Linked DNA regions of Notamacropus eugenii. The protein of the gene in region 1 purifies or fractionates together with the protein of each later gene. This does not show direct contact. Links are inferred from orthologs where the notes say so. Each region holds a gene or a part of one and is shown on either strand. Other genes may lie near its edges.

The links. The genes of interacting proteins can lie anywhere in the genome.
Region 2: the proteins of KPNA3 (region 1) and KIF22 purify together in Homo sapiens (affinity purification with mass spectrometry; 3 studies listed by BioGRID and IntAct, counting the BioPlex papers as one, with this or other methods). This does not show direct contact. The link is inferred for Notamacropus eugenii from reciprocal best matches to the Homo sapiens genes KPNA3 and KIF22.

What each region holds. Positions count from the first base shown.
Region 1 is NC_092876.1:106,567,241-106,574,643, forward strand, and holds the start of KPNA3 (importin subunit alpha-4), read left to right. Parts: upstream 1-4,396; 5' UTR 4,397-4,575; coding exon 4,576-4,644; intron 4,645-7,403. UniProt on the Homo sapiens protein: Functions in nuclear protein import as an adapter protein for nuclear receptor KPNB1. Binds specifically and directly to substrates containing either a simple or bipartite NLS motif.
Region 2 is NC_092872.1:47,025,113-47,032,201, forward strand, and holds the start of KIF22 (kinesin-like protein KIF22), read right to left. Parts: upstream 3,014-7,089; 5' UTR 2,907-3,013; coding exon 2,835-2,906; intron 2,228-2,834; coding exon 2,099-2,227; intron 1,923-2,098; exon of another isoform or gene 1,719-1,922; coding exon of another isoform or gene 1,658-1,718; intron 1,170-1,657; exon of another isoform or gene 1,016-1,169; coding exon of another isoform or gene 990-1,015; intron 284-989; coding exon 178-283; intron 1-177. UniProt on the Homo sapiens protein: Kinesin family member that is involved in spindle formation and the movements of chromosomes during mitosis and meiosis. Binds to microtubules and to DNA. Plays a role in congression of laterally attached chromosomes in NDC80-depleted cells.

The DNA of each region.
Region 1 (7,403 bases):
GAATGTTGATGCATGATTTTCTGTTTGCAGACAATTGTGCACTCAATGCAACCTCTCAAGCTGAGATGCAACAAAGTATGGATCAACTCTCTGCTGCCTGTGCTAATTTCGGCCTAATAACTAACCCAAGAAAACACAGGTGCTCCATTAGCCACCACCACACTATCCATACGTGGAACCATCAGTTACAACAAAATGGAGAAGTTTTGAATGCTATGGATAAGTTCATTTACCTTGGTAGTATATTTTCCAGGGATGTACACATTGACAATGAGGTTGATGCATGCATTGCCAGAGCTAGCTCAGTGTTTGGGAGGCTCCGAAGAAAAGTTTGGGAGAGCAGAGGTATTAGACTGACTACCAAACTGAAGGTCTACAGAGCCATTGTGCTGACCTCATTGTTGTATGCCTGTGAAACATGGACAGTCTACCACTGCTATGCCAGGAAATTGAATCACTTCCATTTGAACTGTCTTAAGAAGATTCTGAGGATCACCTGCCAGGATAAGGTACCAGAAACAAGTCCTTGCTTGAGCTGAACTGCCAAGTATTCAAACTATGCTTCAGAAAACGCAACTCCAACGGACTGGTCAAGTTGTTTGAATGCAAAATGTGCACTTGCCAAAAAGAGTATTTTATGGAGAACTTTCATGAGGCAGGCAATCACATGGTGGTCAGAAGAAGCAATACAGGGACACTCTCAAGGTCTCTCTCAAGAACTTTGGATTTGACTGTGCAACATGGGAGGCACTGATGCAGGACCGCTCAGCATGGCATGCCCACATCAGAAAGGATGCTCTGCTCTGTGAGCAAAGCAGAATTGAGACAGCACAAAGTAAATGTAGGATGCACAAATTTGGGATATCCACCCCAAATATTCACACAGATTATCTGTGCCCAACCTGTGGTAGAGCATACTGAGCTTGTAGTGGTCTGATCAGCCACAGTTAGACACACTGAAATTTCACTTTATCATGGCTATGTCATTCTGGTCCTCTTTGAAGACAAAGGACAACAACCAACTTCAACTTTTCATTTCACAGTGTTTATGCTGTTTTCTTTGTTACCTTGGTGACATGTAAATCTCCATTCTCAAATTAGTTTACTGTGAGCCATCCAAGTAGTTTGAGCTGTGGTCTAACTTATATAATTCTGATTATGAATATATGAAAAATCTCATAGATTTTGTTTATAGGTAAATGATCCATGGAAAAAGTAGGATGGCCCATCCTCCATGAATCAAAAGACAGAATTGAGTGAACCTGACTCCATCTTGTAACTCAGTCCTAGAGTTAGCTCAGTTTCCTTTCTATTCAATTATGGGTCTAGTCCAATTTCTACCTTGTGAGGAAACTTCATTCAGTTATGGAAATTGTGAGAAAACATTATTGTATTCTTTGGACCTAGCCCTATATGGCTGGAAAGTTGGATTACCCTTACCAGTTGCTTAGAGACCCTTGACTAAGGACCTAGGCTATGCTGACTAGAAACCCAGTCAGATCCAAAGAATGATGTAAGGAGTTTCTCACAACTGCACATCTTAAACAGCCCATATATTTTATCTGAAAACTGTTCCTTTCATTGAATAAGATACTCAGGGGAGGGGAAGTGGGATGCCTCTTTTTATGATTTGAGAGAATTGCACCTGATCATTCATCTCCATCCCAACTCAGAAAGCCCCTAATCTTTCCTATAGTTAGAAATTAGATTACCCAATTTTGTAACCTGTTTTATATACTGTTAATTATTTTTATTGCATAAAAATCTATCTCCCCTGTCTTTGGGGTCAGTGCCAAACTGAGGAGGCCTGGTCCCAATCTGTTATGCAATTGGCATGCATTGCTTAATAATTTAATCCTTCTAATTATGCTTGATACTTAAAAAGTTAATAATAAATAAAATCAGAAGCTCAAACCTTTGTTTCCTCAGTTATTTCATCTCCTACATCATGGTGAGACCATGGCAGTACCTACACACCTAAAGCAATCCCTCATGAAAAATGAATCATCCAATTATAGGACAAAATCAGGATTCTCTAGAGGAGCATCCAAAAGGTCATTGCAGGACTTTTCAACCATGTCCACAGCAGAGGAACAATCATGGAAAGGATCCCCTGAAATTGGAATGTCAGGGAATGAAGTGGCCAGATTAAGAACGGAGAACTGCTTTAAAGTCACACTTTCTTTGTTCAGTAAAGTCACTTCATACCTAGCAAGTCTCTGATCTGAAAAGGTTTGTGTTCAAGGTCTCAGCAAAAGAGCCTCTACTCATGGGATACTGCAAATGGAGCTCCTAATACCAAATCACATGTCTTTTCTACTTCAAAGAAAGTGGCAAGACACAGCCTACTATGGCTGGAGTACCAGCTGTGCAGAATAGTATACCATGGGGCAAGGAGAGGGCCTAAGGGATTAAGGATCTCAGAAGCCACCTCTCTATTCATGAACAAAAAGAGAAAAGGGCTTACTTACTCCAGTCCCAAAACTGGAGCTGAAAACAATGCTCTCTTGAGGTCTGCAAGGGCAGTAAGGTGTTCTGGTCCAATCTGAAAGTCTTTGGTTAGAGAGGCTAAGGGTTTACTAATCTCACCAAAGGATGGAATCTACTGACAACAGTAGTCTTGTTTTTTCCAGAATGAGACGGATCTGCTTCTTAGTCTTTGGGGCAGATAGCTGCTGAAGACTTTGTACCTCTTTAGGAGAAACAGAGCAAGAGCCTGAAGACCAAAGGAAACCATAGACCTGTGGGAGGCACCATTGTACCTTTGATCTGGAGGCTTTGTGGCTTCTGGCATGTAGTTGGAGATGATAGTAGCTGTACTCTTGACAGTTTCCACAGTAAGAGATCATTGATTAGTGAACCAGAGTGGACCTATCATAAAGAGAATTGCATTGATTCCTTAAGGGTTTCTATGAGTGTTTTATGAGTTTTCTCTATCTGTTTATGGGCTTCTGAGAGTTTTTTTTTAACCTTCTGTGTTTTCTGTGTGGGTTGGCCTCTATCCTGACAAGAATATGTTCTTTCTAGGACTTTTAAGGGAATTAGAGACCCTGTTACTAGCACTTGTGGAAACCTAGACATTAATTATATAAAAGCTATATTCAGAGATATCTCAGAGGAAGCCCGGCAGTGGTAATAATGAGCTGAAAGGGAAATTGACTTTTTTTTTTTTTTGAGGGAAGCCCCAAAGATTGAACTGTCAGTTAGGGGAGGTCCCTGAACACCTGGCTACAGGTAGGTCACATTTTCCTTCAAAATCCCATCGACTTCATCTAACTTCTCACAATGTTTAAAATACTTTCAGCCACCCCAACTCCTGTGATAAAACGCTCAGCCATTTCGCCGTTATGATGTGCCTCCATCCTAGAAGTACCAGGTTCTCCAGGTATCTCTTCCAGTCCCTTGATTCTCAATCACTTCTTCCCTCTCTCCATCCCTGCCACCCACTCCCTTTGCGTTCTTGGACCAGCCTTTAGCTCCCTTATCTGTAAAACGATGGGTCCCTTCCAGCTCTGAGGCCATGAACCAGTAAAACCCTCTTTCCTCTCAGTCTAAGGAAACACCCCCCCCCCAAACTCCTTAGGCTGCTCCTTCGGCCAGGACACCCTCTCCCTCGCCCCAGGGGATCCCAACTCAGTTCGATAAACACCTACTAAGCACATGCCAGACACTGTGCTCAGGGTACAAAGAGGCAATGCTGACTGCCTAATTCTCCCCATCTCTCCATTCAGTTTGAAGCCCGGAAGGCTTGTTTGGGAGAAAAGACAAATGTTTGGTTAGAAGGTAGGGAAGAGCCGGGGTCACCGGGGCCAATGGTCCTCCATCTCCCTTCCACTTCCCTCCGTAAGTAGGCACGTACGTGATGGTGGGGAGGCAGGAGGGTTGTGCAGCGGGGTACAGCACACGATCAGGGTCCTAGGTGCCTCATCACTTGGCGCTTACTGGACTGATGCCCGGGATGGCCAGGCGCACTCCCCAGGAAGCCCCTCCCTGAGGCGGCCCCTGGGGTGGAGCCCCGAGGGCGGGCAGCGCGCGCATCCTCCCGGCATACACCACTTTGTCTCCATCGAGGTGGACTATAAGCCTCGCTTAGAGCCGGGCATGCCGGGAACTGTAGTCCCCCGCCTTCCCTCCCTCGTGCCAGAAGGAAAAGCCGTAGGGCCCAGCTCCATTTTATGCAAATAAGCTGCAGCCCCGAGGCGGCGAGGGGAAGTGGGAGGTTTGCTGTGGTGTGTCGCCCTAGGAACCCGCGCACTCCGCAGCCCAAGCCGCCGGCTTTAGCGTCTTCATCCGGGTGTCACGTGTGCCGGAGCCCTTTCCCTGCGCGTGCCCCTCCTAGATTCCATCCTCCCCCTCTCTCCCGCCCCCGCCCCCGCCCCACCCCCACCTCGCCACCGGCTCCACGCCTCCCCTAGCGTACAGAGGCGTCACGGAACGTCCCCCTCCTCCTTTCCCCCTCTCCGGCTTTCCCTCCCTCTCTCACCCTTCCCCCAACCCCAGCCCTCCCCCTCCCGCGCCGGAGACTCGCCGCCGCCGCAGCAGGACGAGTAGCCGCCGCCGGAGCAGCGCAGAGCCATGGCCGAAAACGCCGGCTTGGAGAATCACCGCATCAAGAGCTTCAAGAACAAGGGCCGCGATGTGGAAGTGAGTGTCGCGCCGCCGCCGCTGGCCGAGGGGTCCGGGCCTGGCCGCCCGCGGCGGACGCCCAGGCTGGTTCTCGCCGGTTCGCCGTGCGGAGTTGGCCGCCGCCGCCTCCCTCTCCTCCCCGGGCGGCGGGGCGGGGAGGAGCGCGGGGCGGCGGCGAGGGAAGCGGGGCGGGGGTGGGTGGAGTGGTCGAAGCCGCCGCGGCCCCGCTCCCCTCCCCGCCTAGGGAAGGCACCGGCCGGCGGGGAGACGAGGGAAGAGCCGTGGGTTTTTTCTCCTCCGTCACGCGGGCGCGGCCTGGTGGAGGCGAGCGAGGGATGTGCGGCTGCGAGGCGCCGCCGGAGGCCGACCGGCGAGAGCGAGCGGGGGCTGCCGCCGTCTCCTCGCCTGGCCGCAGCCCCGCACGCCCGCCGCCTCCTCGCCTCGCCGGGCGGGCCCGCACGCCCGCCGGGCACAGGAGGGACCGGCTTCTCGCTGCGTAGCGGGAGCGGCTCCACCTGGGGCTCGGGCTCCTCGCGGCCCCTCGGCCCGGGCTCGGCGTGGGGCAAGGCCGGGTCACTGAGTCGCGCCGGGTGGCGGATGAGGGGAGGAGGGAGGGATGCGCCAGGACCATCTTCTCGGCCCCGCTCACCCTGTGATCGTCCCCGAGCTCCCACTCCCCTCTCGCTTGGCACCGGGATCAGGATGCCGGGCAGACAATAATTGGGCATCTATTGTGTTCTTGCTCCGGGAGGAAAGAAAGGGGGGGAGTGTCCTTTCCATTCCTTCCTCCTGGCTTCCTTTACATCCCTTGGAGTATACGATGCATGCGTGATACGATCGATCATTTGTGGAAAGTATTTTTATTGGAATATTGTCGAGGCATCTCCATCCTTCGTCTCTGGCTCCCGCCGTGCCGGTGTCGGGTGATGATTTCTGCGGCCAGATTGTAAACATTATGGTCACTCCGTGTGCTGCCATTGTTTCATTAAGGTGACACGAGCAGGTACTACTTTGTAACTCATCTCATGCTGAGCAGCGCTAGGGGTCTCTATGCAGCTGTTTAAAGCATGTCAGTGGAAGGCACAAACTTCATCAGTACCCACACATATACGGTGTTTGAGCCCCGTCCCGTCCTCATCCGCTTTGGCAGGATATGATTTGGATTTGTAGGTTTGAAATAATATGCTAAAGATAATGTGCATTTTACAAATGAAAATTAATCCAAATTACTCTACGGTGAGGGGAAAAAATCCTTATTGCTTGTTTTATAATGAGTAAACATTGTAGTTCTCAAAAGCACAGTTACACTGACAAAATCTTGAGGCATTTCTGAATATATAATTTTGAAGATAACTGATGACTGTGGAGATCTCATTTTATGAAAGAGAAAACCGAGACTTCTCTGCATGAGTATGTTCTGGCCTTGATTGCATTTCCCTCCACAGACACCTGTCCTGATTCTAAGACTCGTAAAAAAATGAATTTCAGAAAGCTGGAAATTGCTTTCTCCTGGTCACCTCAGTGATTGAGTCTAGTGTCTTAGGTCCAGGGAAGTATCATTGGCAACCAAGTCCTTCCACCTGCTGCAGCCTTATCCTGTGTTAGAAAATGTAAAAAATCGAAATTAACCATGTTCCCCCAGAAGGTATGGTAAATTTATCTTTCCCCCTGGGTCCTTAGGATGCTTGGATAGTTTTGTCTTTATGATTCCTTCCCTCCCCGTTTGTTTTAGTATTCCTGTGACATTCAGTACTTTTATACTATATGCGTATTGCATAATAGATATACATTAAATGTTTGTTGCTCCTGACATCAGTTTCTGTCTTTTAAATATGAGCAATTATATGCTTCCATGGGTGTCTTAAAGGATGAGTAGTGGTAGACATTCTGACCTAAAACAATATTTTAGGAAGAACAGTAATTATCCTTCATTTTACAAATTGGCAAGCTTGGGCATCGAAAAGCCATCCACTGCCAAACCTCTTGCCTTTTGACATGTTACAATGCCCTCTTCCTCTCCCCCACTAGCTGGAACAGTACCTTCCAGGCCAGATCTCCAGAGACCATTCTCTTCTCAGTCAGTCCTACTATTGCTTATGGATTTTGAGAATTGACTGCCCTATGACTTCACAGACCAAAACTCCTTTCCTTGGCTACAACTCTCATATATGTGTTACATTTCTGCATTAGGATAAAAATTTCTTGAGGGCAAGAACCATCTGGCTTTTTTATTTGTATTCCCAAGATCCTATCATAATACATCCTATCATAATACTTGACACTCCAGTATCTAGGTAATTTTTTTCACTCATTTATTTATTTTAGTCAAAGGTTGTAAGATAACCCCTTCTCCACCCCCAGACTCCAAATCACATTAGTCTATGACAAAACTAGGGCTAGAATCTAGGGTTTTTGATTACTTACTAGTGGTCTGTCCTTTAAACCACATCAAATTATATAGTTATCAGTCATATATGATGTACATGGAAAAAAGTAATCTTATGCACAAGGTGCTGGGTACTATGCAAATTGATCTTAACTGCTATAGCTTCTTTTTAGGAGTTTATAATACAGAACAGAGAATAGTTAGGTAGATGTATACAAAGAAAAATCAAACATAATGAAAATTCTGTAAGCAAGAAGATAGAAAGGACCATCAGAAATAAAATACAGTTTCCCATAAGTATACAGTTGTGCTAGGGAATTGAGTACAAGGTGAGCTTTAGAAGAAAAACATTTCATACCTATCCAGTCAGGAATGACTTCATAGAAGAAAG
Region 2 (7,089 bases), on another chromosome or scaffold:
TTTAAGAAATGATGAAAGGGGTGGTTTCAGAGAAACCTGGACTCTGATGCTGAGTGAAATCTATACAAGCAAGTAAATTTATATAAGGAAGACAGACACTTTTGAAAGACTTAAGAAATGTGATCACCATAATGACTAATCATCATTCCAGAACTCACTATGAAACATGCTACTTGCCTTTTGATAGAAATGAAGGACTCAGGATGCAGGATGACACATATTTTCTTCTGGACATTGTCAATGTCAGGTTTTTTCTGTTTTGTTTTGAAGAGATACGGGAAACCTTAGAGATTAAGAGCCTGGACTGTAAGCTCAGCCTCCTGACATCTAATTAGTTCAGTGTCCTTTTCATTATACTACAGGTCTCTCTAAAGGTACAAGTCTAGTTTTTAGAGTCAATAAGCATATGTAAGCCTGACATATAGTAAGCACTTAATAAATGCTTGTCTACTGACAAAAGAATAAATAGAACCTGAGAGAATATAATTAAATGCTAACTTGTAGGATATGGCCCATAAATGTTACAGGTGATCAGCAGAAACCATCAGAGAGTGATCAGAAGAAATGGAATGTTTAAGGAAAGCACTGGTCCCTAATGAAAAGGTCTGCATGTCTATGGTAGGGAGTCAAGCTAGGAGACAGTACCTTACCAATCAGGAGTTTGTAAGAGGAACAAAGAATCCCAGCTGTCACTCTATCTGTGCCTGGCAACTCATTTAAATGTCTCTGAGTCTCAAATCCTCATCTCTAAAATGAAGAGGGTTGTTTCACATGCCTTCTAAGGCCCTTTCCAGCTTACTTTATCATCCTGTGATCCTAAGAGTAATCCTCTAAAGTGTCATATCTATGACAACTTAAAACGCTTAAACTTAAAACTTAAAAATGGGCTATTTTGCTTTGTGCATAGAGACAATATAAATTATCTGGTTTTCATTCAATGATTGTTAGTACTCCCTGTATTGAATATCTTCAACTTATCCTGCATATACCTTTGTTTGTACATAGTTGTTTTCATGTGGTCTTGATGGGGAACAAGCTCAAACCAAGACCTTTTCCCTTTGGATGGGAAGAGCTTTGTCACATTTGTCTGAAGGGCCCTGGGCAGTCTGGCCTTGGGGGACAGGGAGCTCCTTGGATTCCCCTTCCATTTCTCTCAGGTCAGATACTCTCTTAGGCAGATAACAGATAATAAATAGATAATCTTCTATTTAGCATTCTTTCCATATTTCTCTCTTTGATCCTATTACCAGCCACTCCAATCAGAATCCTCCCTGGGTTTGATCTTTCAAGACCATCCCTGGGACCCCAGACTACCTGGCCACACCTGGATGCTTCCCTCAGTCTTTTTCTGTATTTAAGTTCCATCTTGCCTCCATGAAGGCGCTCAGACTCTGTCTAGCTGAGATTCTATCTGGCCCGCTAGTGAATACAAACGTTATAAATGCTTATAAAGGCTCCTTAACAGTCAACCCAAAATGGCGAATCTTTAATAAACTTTGTTTTTGGGGGCCTTAAGAAGGCTAGTGTCGAATTCATTCGAGCAGGACCCGGTGTCTGTATTTCGGGGTCCCCCAGCGCCCCTCAGACCTCAACAGTCTCCCCTATTAAAAGTGAGCTCTGTGAGAGCAGGGGCTGTCACCGGCCTCTCCTGACTTACAGGTGTCTGGTTTGTCACTGAGTCCTCTTCCTCCCCATCTGTCCCACGTCAGAGCTTCCATTAGTCTTCAACTCCACTCTCATTTCTAGCTCTGGTCTAGTCCGGGATTCCCAACTCCTGAACCCCGCTTCCCTTTGGGGAGATACGGGGCTCCCTCCTTCAAGTCTCAGACCCGCGAAGGGAGGCATTAACAACCCATTCCACACTTCTCTCTCCCCACCCTGGGGGAAGGAGGGCAGAGAAAGGATCCGGGGGCGCCGGAAGGAACGCGCACGGCGTCTTCTGCGCCTGCGCCTGCACCGCGGGACCGACCCCACCTCCCTTCTCCCCATCCCCCACCCCGCGCGCCCGGGAAACCTCCAAGGGATAACCCAGAGAAGCGAGCCCCTGCTGAGGCAGCGTGGGCCATCCTCGGCCCGCAGCTGCCCCGAGCGCCCCTACCTGCAGCCGCAGCTGCCACCGCCATCTCTCGGGCTTCTGCTTCGCCGGCCGCCCCCAACCCAACTCCTCTTCCACAGAGCTGGTTCCTTTCGGCATTCGAATTCCCCGGCGGCTCCGCCTCCTCCGGTCCTTTCGACCAATGGCGAGCGTCAGGCCGGTTGAGGCGCCGGAAGGGGTGGGGTCGTCCCCAGCCGCCCTCCCCCCCCCGCCCCCGGCGGAGCCCTTTCCGACAGGGCTGCAGTTGTGGCGTCTGCGCAGGTGTGCGCCCCTGCACTCCTCCCGTCCTCGAGTCCGGGCGAGCTCCTAGGGGGCGGGCTTCGAGGCAGCCCCGCCCGTCCGCTCCCGACGGGGGCTCTTCCGGCCCCGGAGCCAGCTTTGGGCCCGGGCCCTCTTCCCTGCTCGCTGTGCTTTCTCCAGGGCCTCTGCCGCCGTCCTCCGCTCCGGCCGCCCCGTAGGCCTCTCAGGCTGGCCGCCCCGCGGACCTCCCAAGTTCCGCAGATCCAGAGCGGGGTCGTTACCTTTTCCTCTCACGCTTCTCTCTCTTCCGGACGCCCCCATCCTCGCCGTCCTCCAGCCCCAAACCTAGGCGTCCTCCTCGCTCTCCCCTCCCCCCTCCCCCCTCTCCCCTCCCCCAGGCAATCCCATGCGGAGTCCTGGGATTTCCACCTCGGTAACGTAACCTCTCCGTGGCCCAGCCCCTCCTCCCCTTCGACCCTGCCCCCACCCTGAAGCCCACCCTCAGCTTCTCCGCGCTTTTAGGGTCCGCTGGCTCAGCTCCGGTCTGGCGGACTGTCCACTCTCCTGTCATTCGGTCCAAGATCCAATGTAAAATGCGCCGGCATCTCAAAGCCTTCCTTCGTTCTTGTTACACCTTACTCTTTCTCCTTTCCCCTCCACCCGCGACGATCCAGTGACGCCGGCCCCTTTTCTGTGGCTCTCCATCTCCTGACTTCATGCGTTTTTATTGGCTGTCTGTCCCCATGCCGGGATCCTCTCCACCGTCTCCACCTCCTTCTGGCTTCCTACAAGAAGCTCTTCCCCCGTCTTCTTCAGTGCTAGCAGTGCCTTCCCTCCGTTAATTACCTCCCGTTTATCCTGTCTGCATCTTGTTTGTACTCAGTTACTTGCACGTGGTCTCCCGGGTTAGCCTGGGAGCTCTTGGACAGTAAGGACTGTGTTTTGGCTTTTCTGTACGTGCCCAACACCTTAGTACAGCACCTGGCACGTAGTAGGTACTTAGTAAATAACGATAAAAATAATTTCTAGGATTTATATGGCATTTTGAGGTTGGCAAAGCCTTGGCAAATATCTCCTTTTATCTTCACAACAATCCTGAGAGGTAAGTGCTATTGTTATCACCCCCATTCTACAGAGAAGGAAACTGAGGCAGGCAGAGGTTAAATGACGTACTAGGAAGGGACCAGGGCTGGATTTGAGCTTAGGTCTCCCTGACTCCAGGCACGGTGCTCTATCCACTGTGCTTTCTATTCCTGTCTAGGCCTGGGTAAAGTGGTTTTAGATTATTGTGCATCAGTGAATAGGTAAGCTACCCAGGACATGCATGCTAGGACACTGGTGAAGAGAGAGCTCTGTTCTAAACCACTCCCTGGGACCGGGCACAACGGAAGTCGTAACTTAAGGAGAGCATGACTGCAGCTCCACATCTTAGAGTAACATCAAGGGAGCTGAGGACATTACTAATTAGTAATGGGTGGGAGCACCTTGCTGGCTCTCATCATTCTTGCTCGTAGGGAAGTGGATTGATGTTTCTAAGTTCAGATTTGTCAAGAGCCACCACTCCACAGGATTTAGTGTTACCAGCAGAGCATTATCTTGGCTAGCAGGAAGTTCCTTCTCCCTACAATGGCACATTCACTGAGTTGATTTGTTGAACCAAAAACGAAACCAAAGGTTTCTGCTCTTCCAAGTCAGTGCCAAGGTCACCAAGCACGCTAGAGACAGAGCCACAATTGGACCTGAATTCTTTTGATTCCCAAGTCAGTGTTTTTTTAACCATTATACCATACTTCATTATTAGAAATTTAATAAACTTAATTCATACAGCAATTTTGAAACTTACAAAATAATTTTCTCCAAACTCTATGAGGTAGGTTGTATAAATATAATTTGCATAATTTTATAGTGGAGGAAAGCGAAACTGAGAGAGCAACTTGCCTCTCGTCAATCATATTGCTAGTGAATGCTTGTTTTCTGACTAAATGGTAGTCAGGATTCATAATATTTGTAGCTAGAAAGGTCCTTAAAGATCATCCAGTTCCGTGATTCTCAAACTTTTTTGTCTCAAGATCCCTTTACATTCTTAATTGTTGAGGACCTAGCAAGGAATTGCAAATTAAGGGGATGCTCATCAATTGGGGACTGGGTGAACAAGCTGTGAATCCTGTTGTGCTACAGGAAATGATGAGCAGGATGCTCCCAGAAAAACCTGGAAAGACGTTCACGAACTGAGGCAAAGTGAAATGAGCAGAGTCAGGATAATATTTTATACAGTAACAGCAACATTGTGTGATGATCAACTATGAATGACTTACTTCTTCTTAGGGATAAAATGATACAATTCTGAAGGACTTAGGATGAAAAATGCTATCCATCTCCAGAGAACAAACTGACAATCTGAATCCATATTGAAGCATACGTTTTCCTTATTTCTTTATTTTTCTTGTATTTTCTCTTTTCTTTCACAACATGACTGACATGGAAATATGTTTTGCATGTTTTGACTGCACATGTACAACATGTATCAAATTGCTTGCCTTCTCAATGTGGGGGCAGGGGAGAGGGAGAGAGAAAGTTTGGAACTCAGAAATTAAGAAAAAAGTGTGTTAAAATTATTTTCACATGTAAATTGGGGAAAAATAAAATATTAAAAAATTATTTAGGACCTCACAGAGCTCTTGTTTATCCTGATGAATATCTGGTCACTGGATTCAGAAGGCTCTGGAGGAGAAGTGAGGCTAGTGACCTGCACAGCCCTCACTCACTCAAAACAAAGTCAACTGCAAGTCATGTCATCATTTCTCTGATGGCATAGTCTTCTTCGGTAAGGAAGGACAAACACAATTCTGTGAGTACATGCAGCTGGCTGAATGGGAACCCAGCTAGCTGGGTAACTCAGCTCCTCTTCTCCTGTCTGCCTCTCCCCCCTCCCCCCTTCCTTCTCCTCTCCAAAGGAAGGTAAATTTGGATGGCCAAAAGATGCCCAGTTGACTTGGGTTTTACTGGCTAGTTTCCTTTCGTTTCGTTTCCTTACCTGTCCTGTCCTGTCCTGTCCTTTCCCTAAACCTCAAACCTACTGCACTCTGAAGGTGGGATGCCAATGGGCCCCTGCCTTAAGGCTCTTCTGGACCCTCCTAGCTTTAGAGTGATTATCAATAGTAACTGTTGCTGTTTCCCTCCCAGGCTGATGTCTTTCTTTTTCTTGACCTCATTAAAGGGGCCTTGGCTACTTCTTAAACTGGCCTATTCAATGAATGGGTGTTGCCTCATCCTAAGTGAGTACCTGCAAAGAGCATCTGGGATCATCTCCAGTTATCCTGATGAATATCTGGTCACTGTATTCAGAGGGCTCTGGAGAGGTGAAGCTGGTGACCTTGTACAGGCCTCCCTCACTCAAAACAAAGTCAAGTGCAAGTCTTGTCATCATTTCTCAGATGGCATGGTCTTCTTCCACAACAAATGATGAACACAATATGGTTATTTCTAACTGATATTTACCATATTAGAAATTAAAATATCTTACCATTGTAATGAACATAATTGTGACTTCAAGGACCCCCTAAAAGAGTTTCAGGGGGCCACCAGAGGTCTCCTGATCACACTTGGAGAACCACTGATTGTCCAACCTCCTTATTTTCCAGATGTAAAAACAGGCTCAGAGAGACTTAGTAAGTTACCCAGGATCCTCCAGGAGGCAAGATGCAGTAGAGTTGGCACTTTAGGCTCAGCAGTTTTTTCCCTACAACCACACTGGAAGTTGGGAACAGGAGCATAACTGGTGAAACGGACCAATTTTAAAATCACTATTTTTACATCTGGCTTTAAGGTTAACAAAGCACTTTCCATCTGATCCTCACAACAACCCATAAGACTCCCTGGGTTGTGTGGTTTGATGTAGACGTAAGGCAACAGAAAGTCAGGGTCTCATTGTGCTAATTATGTAGCAAGAGGATGTAAGAGTGGCATTATCTACAGGTGGCACTCTACTGGAGCCACCAACCCAGCTTTCTCAGTTTCTTGGGCAGGATAGCCAGCCTAAGAACCTGCAATAGCCTGCCTGGCCAGTAGGTGGACTACAGCCTTCAAACACCTGGGCTGCTCAATCCTTTCACCCCCCTCCCCTTCCCAGGAAAGTTCATGCTATAGCAGGGCTCGGATTTTGTTCAGCAGTTTGGATTAACTTCTCATTGGCTGGTCCAATATTAATCTAGGGAATGAAATGGAAAGTTGCTCCAAATGTTGAAAAACCAAAATCTGACACCTATATCTAGCTCCTAATCCCTACCGGGGTTTTTCTTGTTGTTTAGTCATGACCCATTTGGGGTTTTCCTTGGCAAAGATACTGGAGTGGGTTATCATTTATTTCTCATTTTTGGGATGAGGAAACTGAGTTAAGTGATGTGCCCAGGGTCATACAGCTACGAAGTATCTGAGGTCAGATTTGAACTCAGATCTATCTCAACTCAGGACCCAGTGCTCTATCCACTGAGCCATCTAGGTTCCCCCCTCTCAACGTATTGCATACTGCACCCATAGATTTAGAGACAACATGTTGTGATCTTATAGCTTATTATTCATAATAGAGTAAACTGAAAAAGAAGCTAGATAACATACTTCTGAATGGTAGCATCCTTTTCCTGACAGTTCCCAAAATGTCTCCCAGTTGTTCTTCCAGATATTTGAATGTGGCTCAGAGAAATCCTGACCACAGTAGCCTGTGGCCCAAAAGAAAGGAATGAGGGAAAGGAGAGTCT